Caenorhabditis elegans: one gene and its partner. The protein of the gene in region 1 purifies or fractionates together with the protein of each later gene. This does not show direct contact. Each region holds a gene or a part of one and is shown in the gene's direction. Other genes may lie near its edges. The genes, in order: syp-6 and math-42.

Evidence for each region.
Region 2: the proteins of syp-6 (region 1) and math-42 fractionate together in Caenorhabditis elegans (co-fractionation; one large-scale study listed by BioGRID). This does not show direct contact.

What each region holds. Positions count from the first base shown.
Region 1 is NC_003279.8:6,564,181-6,569,611, forward strand, and holds syp-6 (Thyroid receptor-interacting protein 11), read left to right. Parts: upstream 1-1,975; 5' UTR 1,976-1,992; coding exon 1,993-2,051; intron 2,052-2,096; coding exon 2,097-2,170; intron 2,171-2,216; coding exon 2,217-2,342; intron 2,343-2,389; coding exon 2,390-2,778; intron 2,779-2,821; coding exon 2,822-3,307; intron 3,308-3,351; coding exon 3,352-3,496; intron 3,497-3,645; coding exon 3,646-4,008; intron 4,009-4,051; coding exon 4,052-4,354; intron 4,355-4,399; coding exon 4,400-4,479; intron 4,480-4,526; coding exon 4,527-4,586; 3' UTR 4,587-4,713; downstream 4,714-5,431. Other genes in the region: bag-1 (BAG family molecular chaperone regulator 1), read right to left, coding at 1-65, 110-269; mei-2 (Meiotic spindle formation protein 2), read right to left, coding at 688-977, 1,025-1,177, 1,225-1,511, 1,558-1,670; ipgm-1 (2,3-bisphosphoglycerate-independent phosphoglycerate mutase), read left to right, coding at 5,429-5,431.
Region 2 is NC_003280.10:2,097,916-2,104,966, forward strand, and holds math-42 (MATH domain-containing protein), read left to right. Parts: upstream 1-2,010; 5' UTR 2,011-2,019; coding exon 2,020-2,126; intron 2,127-2,349; coding exon 2,350-2,648; intron 2,649-2,693; coding exon 2,694-2,820; intron 2,821-2,862; coding exon 2,863-3,143; intron 3,144-3,188; coding exon 3,189-3,303; intron 3,304-3,684; coding exon 3,685-4,044; intron 4,045-4,092; coding exon 4,093-4,191; intron 4,192-4,243; coding exon 4,244-4,521; intron 4,522-5,105; coding exon 5,106-5,232; intron 5,233-5,276; coding exon 5,277-5,554; intron 5,555-5,601; coding exon 5,602-5,713; intron 5,714-5,757; coding exon 5,758-6,091; 3' UTR 6,092-6,265; downstream 6,266-7,051. Other genes in the region: T16A1.2 (uncharacterized protein), read left to right, coding at 1-526, 571-694.

The sequences.
Region 1 (5,431 bases):
TTTATCATTTTCTTTAAAATTTAAAGTAGAAAGGGAGACATCGTCGGCGCCTTGAAGAAACTTTCCTGTAAAATACTTTGTCTCATTATTCCAAAAAATCAGAAACAACCTCTGTGCAACAACTTCATGGTTTCAACATCAACATCATTGTCGGTGGCGATTCGATCGCGTAGCTGCCCAAGTGTCAAAATAGATTCGTCTTCTCCTTGATTTTCCTCAAGAATGTCGATTGTAGTTTGAACGGATGAACACGACACATTCACCTTCATTTCTGAAAATTGATTTTGAGACAGTTTTAGCAGTGGGAGAAGCCTCCGAGTGTCGATAAATAAGAAATTGGAACAAAATTATTGTTAACTTATTAGAAAATTAAGAAACTTCTAGAAATGACGAGAAGCTTATGCGAAAATCAGTTCCTCCACGAGGTGTACACATCGATTGCAATGGGGCGCACTCGCTCAGAGACTTCAGAGAAAAACGATTCCATAGACAATGAATCACCGTTTTCGTACGATACTGTGAGGGACATTAAATTAGCCCATTTTTGTTTTTAAGTCACAATACGAGAGCACATGATAGTTTTTATATTGGACATGTAAGAAACACAATGTATGAGCAATAAAATAAACAGTGAGTTGGGTGATAACCATCGGTTGAATAATAAGTATGCAATTATTTACAAGAAAATTACTTATGGCTGGAAACTTTTTTCAATCGCTCGAGAATGGCATCGAGTTTGTAAATTGTCTCCTGGTCAATCTGTTTGTAGATTTTGTCCCGATTTTTAACTATTTTGCGAAAATTGTGAATGCACTCTGTTGCTTTTGCAGCTCGCTCTTCAGCTACCACATCGACTCCAATTCGCCGAGTTTTGGTGGATGCAAATCCGATGATTGTGTCCAGTAAACTGTTGGTAATTGATGCAAGAGCCTTCAAGCAAGCCGATCGCTTCCCATAATTGTCGCTCGTGATATTTTCTGAATTACAAAACATTAGAATAAATTTATCAGGAAGCAAAACCAACCCATGATAAATGTTAAACAAGCATGGCACGAGTTGAGACACCAAGAGTTTCTACTATTCAGAATTCTAATGACTGTGGGAGCGAGTTGGTTGTCGTTTGACAATATCTGTTCCATGTTACTTGTGAAACTCTTCATCTTATAAACACGAAGATCTGAAAAGAAAACATAAACTGAAAAATCAAAACTCTGCAAATCCTACTTCTGCTCTCTCGCTTCGCACAAACACCGATTTTATTCACTTCCTCGGTGCATGCGGACCACAACGACGCGTTTGATGACATGACTGACACGGATGATTCTGGGGAGGATTTTGGCAAAGAACTGCTATGTTCTTCACCTCTCGAAACCGGGTTCCGAGACAATTCCTTCTTCGACTCGGAATGCAATGGACGTCTTGAGCGAGTATTTGTGAACTCGGGCAGATCGGCTTTCACAGTTCGAGAACTCCCGATGAAAGTGATGGGAACGTCCTTTTCCGCACCGCGTCTGAAAAAAATATAATCGCTTCAGATACTTTTTTCGTAGAACTCACCGACTCGAAGTAGATCTTGTATTTGGTCTGTTTTCAGCGGATTTCGGAATGTCGTTGAGAGGCTTCCTATTTTTTGCATGTGTTAGTTTTTTCCGGTCGTCAAGCCCTGACATCTGAAAAATTTCAAAATTTCAAATTTAAGAAGAGACAAACATTTTATAATTGGAAAAAAACACAAGATATCAAAATTAGACGAAAGAAAGGAACTAGTAAACAAGAAAAAACCGTTTTCCCGCATAAAAGAAATTCCCGCGTAATTCTTTGAAGTACTATCGTACCCCGCATGAGCGCTGCGGGACCCGAATAACATCTCATATGCGCCTTTAAAGTTTTTAATATAAAGCTGGATTTTTTAATCCTAAGTATTTACTTTTGCCTCATTCCAATGAATTCTTGAAACGATATATTTAATATTTAATTTAGTTCTTATAGTAAATGGCTCCAGTACTTGGTTTGTTGGAAAATGAAGCGAAAGTCAAGTCGATCATCAGAAAGTAAGTCACCAAAAAAAGAAACAGTTTATATTAATTTAATTTCAGCAATAACCTACTCGAAAAAAAGTTTTCGAGCTTTCAAAGACAGTGTAGAGACCTATCAAGAAACCATGCACTCCGTAGGCGATTTTCGTTCTTGGTTGCAAACGAATTACATTTTTTCAGTCGATTCGTGTTGTTCACAAGTCAAACATTCGGCAACAGCCGCAGAAGAAATGTCAGTCAGCGATAAAGATGTGAAAAATCACCAGAAGAAACTTCATTCATTTTTGGCACAGTCTACTGATCAAGGTATCATTTTCCTTTTAACTTTTAATATTTTAGTTTTCGTGTTTCAGTTAACTCCACGATTGATAAAATGGATTTTTTCTGTTCCAAGGGCAATCACTCTCTTCCGATGGAAATGTCAGTGCTTTCGATCACACTTCCATATGAAGCGTGTATTGAAAAATCTGCAAAAAAACACGAAACTATGGTTTTTTCCATTGATGAAGTTTCGAGTGCTGTTCAGCACCTGGAAAATGAAAAAGTCGATGTGGAAAAGCGTCAATCTTCAACAGGCAAACTTATATTTCAAACTGAAAAAGAAATTATGAAGCTAAAAGAAGAGATTCAAGTAAATACAAATCTCGAGTCAAATATTATTCAATTGTCTCTGGAGAAGCTTTCTTCAGTCAAAGACTCTTCTACGAGTGAAAATGTTTATAAAGCGAAACTGGAAGAGGAGGTATTTCTGTTTCATAAAAAAGGATGTAAAATTTATAATTTAGATAAACGAAGCCAGGCAAATATATGAAGACGCATTGAAACAGGATGTGATCAGCCAAGAATCAGCTATGATGACCCAGCAACTAGAATCTCTTAATGAGTTGTGCTCTGACCTCAGTGATCTTAACAAAATTAATCTTACATCTATCGAAAAGTTTCCTGATTGCAATGAGGTATGCGAGCTCTCCGATGAACTGCAAACTCTTGAAAAGTCTGAAGCTGAAAACTCAGAAAGTATAATAAATCTCGAGGCGTCGTTGGAAGATATTAAATATCAGAACAAGAAAGTCCGTAAGAGTTTTGATCAAATAAACCAATTGGAAAACGCATATATCGTTAAAAAAGAGGTTCTGACTCGGAAGAAATCTGCTATCGAGGACGTCAAGCGACAAATTGCTGAAAGCAAAATCACATTAAATAAATTGAAAGTGACTGTCCGTGCTGTGGAACGATCTGACACCCCAGAGAATGTGGAATCAAAGAAAGAAGTATTTATTCATTCAAATTCAGTATATTACAAGTCTTGTTTCAGGAGGCTTTTCGGCGTCTCGTGGCATCTAGCACTGAACTTCCCGGACCAGAGTCATTCCAGCGTGACAATGTTCGAAATGTGGAGAAATCATTGCGTTTTAAGAAGTGGAACCAAAGAACCACGTCGCAGTCGTCGTTCACTTCAGGTAAGATGTTTAATTGTTTTTATACCAATTTGATTACAACCACATGTTTACTTTTTTGAATAACAAAATACGACGCTTTCAAAGAAGTTTGCAAAGTTTTTTTAATAGACTTTGTGTCAAAGAAGAAATAAATTTATAATTATTTATAGTTTTAGATTCAACACGATCTATTGGACCGATTGGTGTGCATTATCCAGGGATAAAACTTATCAACAAAGACGCTGCAACGCCCACTGAAGTTATTCGGAAGATTACATCGGAGCTAAATGAATCTGCTACTTCTGAAGATTCAACATTCGATGACGATACAGGCACAACACAGGATGAGTCTGGATTGAATGCATTCTTTAATTCTCCGGTTAGCAAAGAACAAACTTCAATGCGTCCACAGTTTTCAATGATTGCTCATATGGAGAAGTATGATACAATGCAGGCCAAGAAAAACATGGATAAATTGCCTGATAATGTTCGCCGAGAAAGCGAAATGGAACACATTTCCCATAATTACGGCCGTAATAATAATTTTTACAGTACGAAAAATTCTGATTACTTCAGGTCCCTCTGAAGTTAACCGCCCGGCGAGTGTTTCATCTAAACGCCACGATCCGGCTGCAAGTATATCGGCAACATCGGAAGAGTCGATCCTATCTGGAACCACTCAGGATGAATCTATGCTCAATGATTTCTTCAATCCAACAGGCACCGACGAAAAACTTAACGACGTTGAGTTTTCCATGACTGCGCATGTGGCAGAATTCGATAACAGACAAAAAGCAAAAAGAGCTGCAGAGCAAATTAAGAAGAGTTCTTCAAAAATATCTGGCAAAAAAGAGGAATCAGTTGCAGATGATAAAAGTGGTTCTTGAATTCTGAATAAGCTTGACAATTTGCAACTATTTTCAGGCTCTGGCAACAGCTACGTAGCTGAAAGTGAAGCTGGCTTCTCACAAGGATCTGAGGAAAACGAATCCATGGATGATGAGGTTTGTGTCTCTTAATGGAATATTCATGAAACATTTATTGTTTTCAGGATTTGGTTGCTCCAGATGATGGCGGTCTAGATCAAACGATTTGGGATGGTGACGACTAAAACTTTCTACATTCTAATTTAATTCATACTTTTTTGTGTTCCTCTTATACGGAATTTTCGCGTAATCTTGTACTATTCCATCATGTTCCTATTGTTTGTGATCTGTTATAAGTTATAAATCATTGTTCTTTAATATTTCAATATTATTGCTGTCACTGTCAAAATGCTAATTAAATTTATCTTTAAAAATCAATTTAAATGTTTAAGTCCTGTAAATATTTATTAAACCGTCGAATTTCAGGAAAAATAACTGTTATAAAATTTATTTTACATGTTAACATGCATGTTAGAAAAGAAGAATTTTACATGTCAACATGCATGTTAGAAAAGAAGAGTACTTGAGAAATTACAAAAGTTTGTATGTATTTACTTGTTTCAATAGTTTTCATTTGTCTGTGGTCGTTGTCTCGCTGAAAAAGACGGGCGGTGCGAGAAAAAGGGTTTTATTTGGACACTAAACTCAATAAAGATACACTTTTTTGATTTCGCTCGCTAAAACTTTTCAATTTCAATACTTCACTTTTGCATCATTTTTCGTGCAGCTCTCTGCGTCTCCGCTTTCAAACACTTCTATTTTGGGTCAATTCTGTTTTTTTTCTTGTTCAGTTTCGAATCAATAGTTTAGCGCGGCTCCAAACATCTAGAAAATCCTTCAAGAAGAGAGCACGAGAAATTGAGAATTTCTTGAGAAATGAGAGAAATGTTAGAGATACGTGATAGAAGAGTTGTTTACGTGCAAAAATCTCACACAGAAAACGTTTCTCAATTTTATTCTCATTTCTTTCAACATTTCAATAAGTCAATGAAATAGTGCTTGACAGAAGAGACGGAGAGAAATAGAGATG
Region 2 (7,051 bases), on another chromosome or scaffold:
TCGATCACAAGGATGATTTTGAGAAGTTCATTGAGAAAGGTATGATGATTCAGAAGATAATCGAAAACTTAAAAAGCAACAAATACACACCACTCTTGAAGTCTTTATTTGGAAACTTCAGACACACAGTTCTCGAAATCGCTACATTTTTTTACAAGGTCGATACGTGGGCGGATCAAATCGTTGACCCGAAAAAACTCAAGTTTCATCAATTTGGGGATTGGCTCGCAAAATTGGCTAGTTTCGAAGACATAAATCTACAGTTAGAGAATCGATTGATTCGAGCTACATGGTGGGATGATATCTATTCAGTAAACAAAACAGTCAAGGTAGAATTTGAAGAAGCGGCGTTTGCACTGTCAAAACTGGATCTTAAATTCTCCGTCTACAAGTCCTCCCTTCTCGCAATGCCAAGAGTCATGAGACAAATTGAGAAAGTGCTCAAGAACGAGACAATCGAAGTGCAACCAGAACCAATCAAGTCTACATATCACGGTCCAAAAGTTGTATCCACTATTTATTACGAGTAAGTATAACCATTTCATTTGCAATTATTTTTTTTACGTTCAGAATGACCATCTTCCTCATCGCTTATGCCGCTGGAAACCTATTGATTGCTGCGATTTGGTGCTATTGTGAGGAAGACTGTTTGTTTCATATTTTGAAACGGCGGTATTATAATAAATTTGATTAAGTGAGTAGTTCTTACCAATTAATGTGCTAATGATTTCAGTTTTCAGAGCCCTTGATTGCTGAAGAAGACCGCCTATTAAATATAAAAGAGTCCTAACAAAAAGTTAACTTTTCTGTGGTAAATAAACTTTGTAATTGAGATTCTAAATACGATGATCGTGCTTTGATGACATTCTAGCTGAATCTTTCCACTTTAAAAGTTCAATATTTTCATTTCAAAGTCAAAGTAGCAATAAAGATCCGGCAGGTGATGGTACCTCATTTGATCATCTGAAGGCGATTTTTCCGAAGCCAGATCCTGCTTTTTTAATTATTTTTTGTCTTGGCACATACATCTTTAGACGGTACCATAGATTTGGAATATGTGCCTAACTGGAAAGAATAATGAATAATTATTCCGAATATTTAATACAATTATTTCGCGAAAAAGTGAGTTGAAAGAGTTTTCGGGATTCCTGGGCATGACTGTTTTGACTCATGATTCTATTCCTTGAATAATTTCTGAGCTCTCTGAAATTCCTGGAATTTTCACTTTTTTTGGCTACAGCTCCTATTCCATTAAAGATTGCTGAGGTATCTAGAAATCCTGAAGAGGGTGATATATGAACCCCTACTATGTGTCGAATTGTTGGGTTTGCCCTCCTACTTCCGGCGCCTACTCATTGGAACACTTCTGGAATAGATTCATCTGGACTTTGAATAGACTTTCTAGAACCACATCTCTAAAACGTACATCAACTGGATCATCCTTACAGAATCCGAAACTTGAAGCCATTTTGTTATTTTAGCATTAAATTAGTCAGTGATAACAACCCTACTACCGCCACTCCACATTCAAGTGTCACAACTGATAAGAATTTTTATTTACCCGTACTGCTCCTCCAGCAGTCGTTTATTTTGTTAATAATCCTTTTAAACACAGATTGATCAAACTATTTCTTTGTTTCTCTTTTTTTTTGAAGATAATTTTAATATTCATAATTACTATCAAACCCCATCAAGCATCCGTTATTTTGTTCAAGTTCATTGAAAGTATTACAATTTATTGATTTAAGATAATTGTTAATGTTCGGATTCCGGAAAATTGTTATTTTTTACGATTTTCACAGTTTAATAAATTATTCAACGAGAACAGAAAATGTATTGCAAGTCTTAGAACAATAATATTCAATCGATGTTTAGTCCGTAGTACTCACTCTGTTTGCATACTGATAAGAAAGTTCATAACTCCATCTTTCTTTCTCTTCCTCCAATTTCTTTAATACCACAACTCATTTACCATCCATCATTTTGCAAATAATTTACAACTCGGTGTGGTTTCAGAAAATGGCAGGTAGACCATTTATACTTATTCATACATTCAAGGATTTGTCAAAACTCAGAGAAGGACAGAGTTACTATAGTGATATTGAAGTACGATACAACATTCCATGGTTAGTCATATCAATTATAAATACGGGTTCTTAATAGTTATATGTGAAGTAGTGCAACGGGGAATTGCTTAAAAATCTTAATCCGATACCAAAAATTATGTTTTCTTAACTTTTATTTTTATTTGAAATTTCAAAAATATCAGTTGTTACCTAATTAAATTTAAATTCTCTCCGTTTTCACGACCAGTACAATAGAGCGGTGTTTCTCAATTTTACTTTTAAGGAGACTGCGCATTTTCAAGAATGATGGATTTCTTGGTGTAAACCTGCACTGTGAAAAAGAGGAGTGTATTGAGACAAAAAAGTGGACGTTTCAAACGAAATTCACTATGAAATTAGTAACTGTAGGTGGAAAGTTTTTCCGACGGATTGTACAACATGAATTCCAAAAACCGGAAGGATATGGAATGGATAAATTCATAAGTTGGGAGAATATGCTAAGGGATTATGTGGATAATGATAGTACTATCATTGAAATCCATGCCGATATTGTGAGCAGTACAGGTTTCTTTGAAGTCAAGTGTAAGATTAGATTTATGAGTAGTACTCCCGATTAACAAATTCCAGATCTTCCAAATCTTCAACCAGATTCCAATAATTCATTTGTTCTGAAACATACGTTCAAGAACCTTTCGAGATTTGAGGAAGATGAAAAAGATTTCAGCGATGCAGTAGATCATTACAATATTCCCTGGTATTTTATTGGTGCACTATTAGGAGATTCATAATTTTTCAGGATAATCGAAATAATAAAAACAAACGAATTTCTTGGGATCTACCTGAACTGCCAAAAAGAATACCATGAAGGGAGGAAATGGTCAATAAAATGCAAATATGAATTTAAATTGATTTCTGCAAGTGGTAATCTTCATTCAGCACAGCAAACGACTGTGTTTGGAAATGGATCGTCGGGCTGGGGAGACAATACATTTATTAGTTGGAATGATATGGAGAACGAATATGTGAACAATGACAGTATCGATGTGGAAATTTCTGTTAAAATAATTAAATTCGCAGGTTGGACTTGTTTTTTAGATTAACAATATCAAGGATTATTTTGAGATGAGCCATGTACAATGCAAACATTTGCACTATCCCATACTATCAAGAACATGTCGAGTATTAGAGAAGGAGAGGACTACGATACGGACACTCAATATCGTTTCAACATTCCATGGTTTGTTGTTTTGTTTAAAAATGTGTTTTTTATTAGTTATCTTTATCATCTGTTAAAGTTGTTCAGTTGAACAACATGAAATTCAACATGAAATCGCTATGATATCTGGGCTTTGACTTATTCATGTCAATTCACTTTTTTTGTTAATCGTATTAAATACATACATACAATTTTTGAGTGTGAGGAGAATAGGTACTGATGGGTAATATGAGCGTAATAGAGGAAAACAGTAGTGCATAAAATATGCGGAGCCAATATATTATAAGATTCGTCATGTCTTTTTTTTACAAAAATTAAATAGCTTGGATTTCAATGGGACAAATGAATATGTATCGAACACAAAAAACCTATTCATACTAATTGCCATATTCAATACTTCAGGAGACTGCAAATTCAAAGGCAAAACGGGTTCTTTGAAGTGTTTCTTCTATGTGAGAAACAACTATGTAAATCCAGAAAATGGTCAATTAAAACTGATATTCAATTGAAAATAGTGCCACCAAATGGGAGAAGTTTATTGTTAAGTGCGATATGTGTGTTCGATAGACCAAGCGGTTCCGGATGGACTACACTCTTAAGATGGAACAGTTTAGAAGAGAAGTACCTAGTCAACGACACTCTCCTTATTGAAGCTCAAGCAATTATTCTCGAAATGACAGGAATTGGAGAGGTAGAAGAAGTAGTAGAAGAAGAAGAGGAAGAGACGACGGACGAATCTTTGAATGAAGAACTAATTAATGAGTAATCGAGTGTTGAGATTTAAAACTAATTCAACCAAGTATTTTTCAGAAAACAATTCTCTCTACCGTTCACAGTCAATAATGTTTCAAAGTTTCAAGACGGTGAGAAACAATGGAGCAATACAGAACAGCATTATGATATTTCATGGTAAATTATAATATTTCAAAAACCATCACCTCAGAAAAATAATTTTTTTCAGGAGACTTCGAGCTAGAAAAACGTTAGGCTTTCTTGAAATTGTTTTGTTTTGTAATGAAGAATATTGTATGGCTTGGAACAAGATAATAGAAGCTGATTGCACATTCACATTGGTTTGCACAAATGGCAGTAATATAGAACAAACATTGAAACTCGTTTTTGATAAATCAGGTGGACAAGGTATCAGTCGATTCATTCGATGGGACGAAATGGAGAAGTACTATCAGCTTAACGGCAGTGTTAATATACAAGCGAAAGTGAAACTGAACAAGGTGGAAGGTTGGAACTTTTAAATGTTTGCCTTTAAACCAGGGGTATGCGGCAAATTTGTCGAATTTGCCGAATTTGCCGTTTGCCGAGCACGGCTAATTTCAAAAAAGTAGATTTGCCGAATTTGCCGAGCTCGGCAAATTTCGAAGTTTGCAGCACACAACAAAAAATTTGACAATAAAATTTTGACGAAAACTATTGATTTTGTCCCCAAAAACTTAGTAAAATGGCACAAAGTTGAGTTATTTTGATGCTTAAGCAGACACACTACACGTAACTTATTCAGCAACTAGATTTTTGTTCAGAATTCAGTAGTTTTGGTGCTCCAAAAAACATCAAAAAATATGTAATTTTTCCGAGTTTGTTGAGCACGACAAATTTGCCGAATTTGCCGAATTTTCCGTGCTCGGCAAATATTGGAAAAATAGATTTGCCGAATTTGCCGCACACCCCTGCTTTAAACCCCTAGCCGGCTTTGTGGGCCTTTGGGCACTTGCGATCTGCTCAGGACTGACCCACGTTGTCTATTCTTACTACCATTAGCACCTAATGTGGTCGTTTACTATATTAAAAACCACCCCTGAAATTTTTAGAACTTCCTTGCGAGATTTTGCCAGCTGCAAAAAGTTTTACATTGTCTCACACTGTCGCAAATATTTCAAACATGCGTAAAGGAACTACATCCTTCAGTAATTCAGAAGAGTGGAATTACGCTTTATGGTAAGCAACTAAGGGTTTTTTTTTGTGAAATGTTTCCATTTCAGGAAAGTGTGCTTGAAGAACAACAACGGCTTTGCCGAGTTATTCCTGAATTGCGGAAATGAGAACAGTGAGCAAGAGTCGCGGACCGTTGAGGCTAAGTATCAACTCTCTCTTGTTGGAGCTGGTGGGAAACAAATCTCCGAATTTTTCGAGCACAATTTCGAGACACCCGATTCGAACGGGGATCCTAAAGTCATCAGATGGAAGGATATGTTGGAACAGTATGCGGTGGATGATAGTGTGAGAATCGAAGCTCACGTTTCGTGTGTTCCGATAGCAGGTTTATTGTAGAACTCTATTCAAAATGTGTTATATGTAGTTTTACAGATGATCTACCAGCTAGCTCCCTCGTAATCAAGCATGTTGTCGAAGAAATTTCAAATATAAATGAAGCAGAATATAATTACAGCAAAACCAAAAAACATTGTGAAATTCCATGGTTAGTATGCCAATGTATCACAAATCCAGTGTACCCTTTTTCAGGAGAATTTCTGCTCAAAGAAAACAACAGCGCATTTTGCTTCACCTTCACTGTGATAAGCCATTAACCAACGATGAAGACTGGTCGATTGAAGTAGAAGTTCAGCTCATTCTAGTGTCAGACACTGGAAGAACACTGACAGATATTTATGTCACTCATATATTCGAAAGAACAGAAGGAATTCATTGGACGAGGGATTTGACATGGGAAGATATGAAGAAAGATTACATGGTTGATGATAGCGTTAGAATTGAAGCTCGTGTAAAATTAGTGGAAGCAAGGGATGACAAAAGTTATGACGTTATCACAGATGATGCTACCACCTCAGAACAGTAATCCGAACTGTGAAGTTACGTGGAACACTCGGATATAAGGATTTAGACAAGAACTATAACACATTTCTGTTGAATAATACGGTTAAATGTATCACAATTTGTACCTATTGAACTCGTTTTTAATGTTTTATTTTAATAAATGATGAAACAATATAAGTTTGAAGTTAAATAAAAAAAGGTGTACATGGTTACTTGAATCATAGACGGATTAAAAGGTAAATCGAAGAAAAAAGTGCCCTGAAACTAGCAATCATTGGACTTTGTAATGACTTTTAAAAACGATTGTACGACACCATATTACTGAGAATGGGACGAGGGCCTCCAATAACAGCCCTAAAATCAATGTGAAGAATAAAAATTAGTATTGTTAGCCCTGAAACAAACAAACTGCAATCGATTTTTTTTGTATCAGTGCTCAATCTGTTTGCATACTGATAAGAAAATTCATTATTCCATCTTTCTTTCTCTTCGTTCAATTTTTTTTACAAATATTTTACAATTCCGTATTGTTTCAGAAAATGTCAGGCAGACCATTCTTGCTAATTCACACATTCAAGGATATATCAAAATTCAGAGAAGGAGATCGTGACTATAGTGATATTGAAGTACGATACAACATTCCATGGTTAGTCATGTCATTTTTAAATATGTGTTTTTAAATGTTCCAGTTTTTACAACCATTACAATATACTGGGCTTGCAATTTTATTCTCGATTTTTAATTATCAATTAAAATAAAAAGTTATACTTTTTCTCTATTTCTTTCTTGCTTAACAATTACAATTTTCAAAATTTGAAAAATAATTGCATGTTCGTATTATTGTACAAATCGTAAAAACAAAGGGAAGTCAATTTAATTAGTTGAAAACTGAAATTTTTTCAAATTTTTTTTCAACCTATGACGCAGCTCATGGTTTTTGTACATTCAATTTTCTTTCTAGGAGACTGCGCATTTTCAAGAA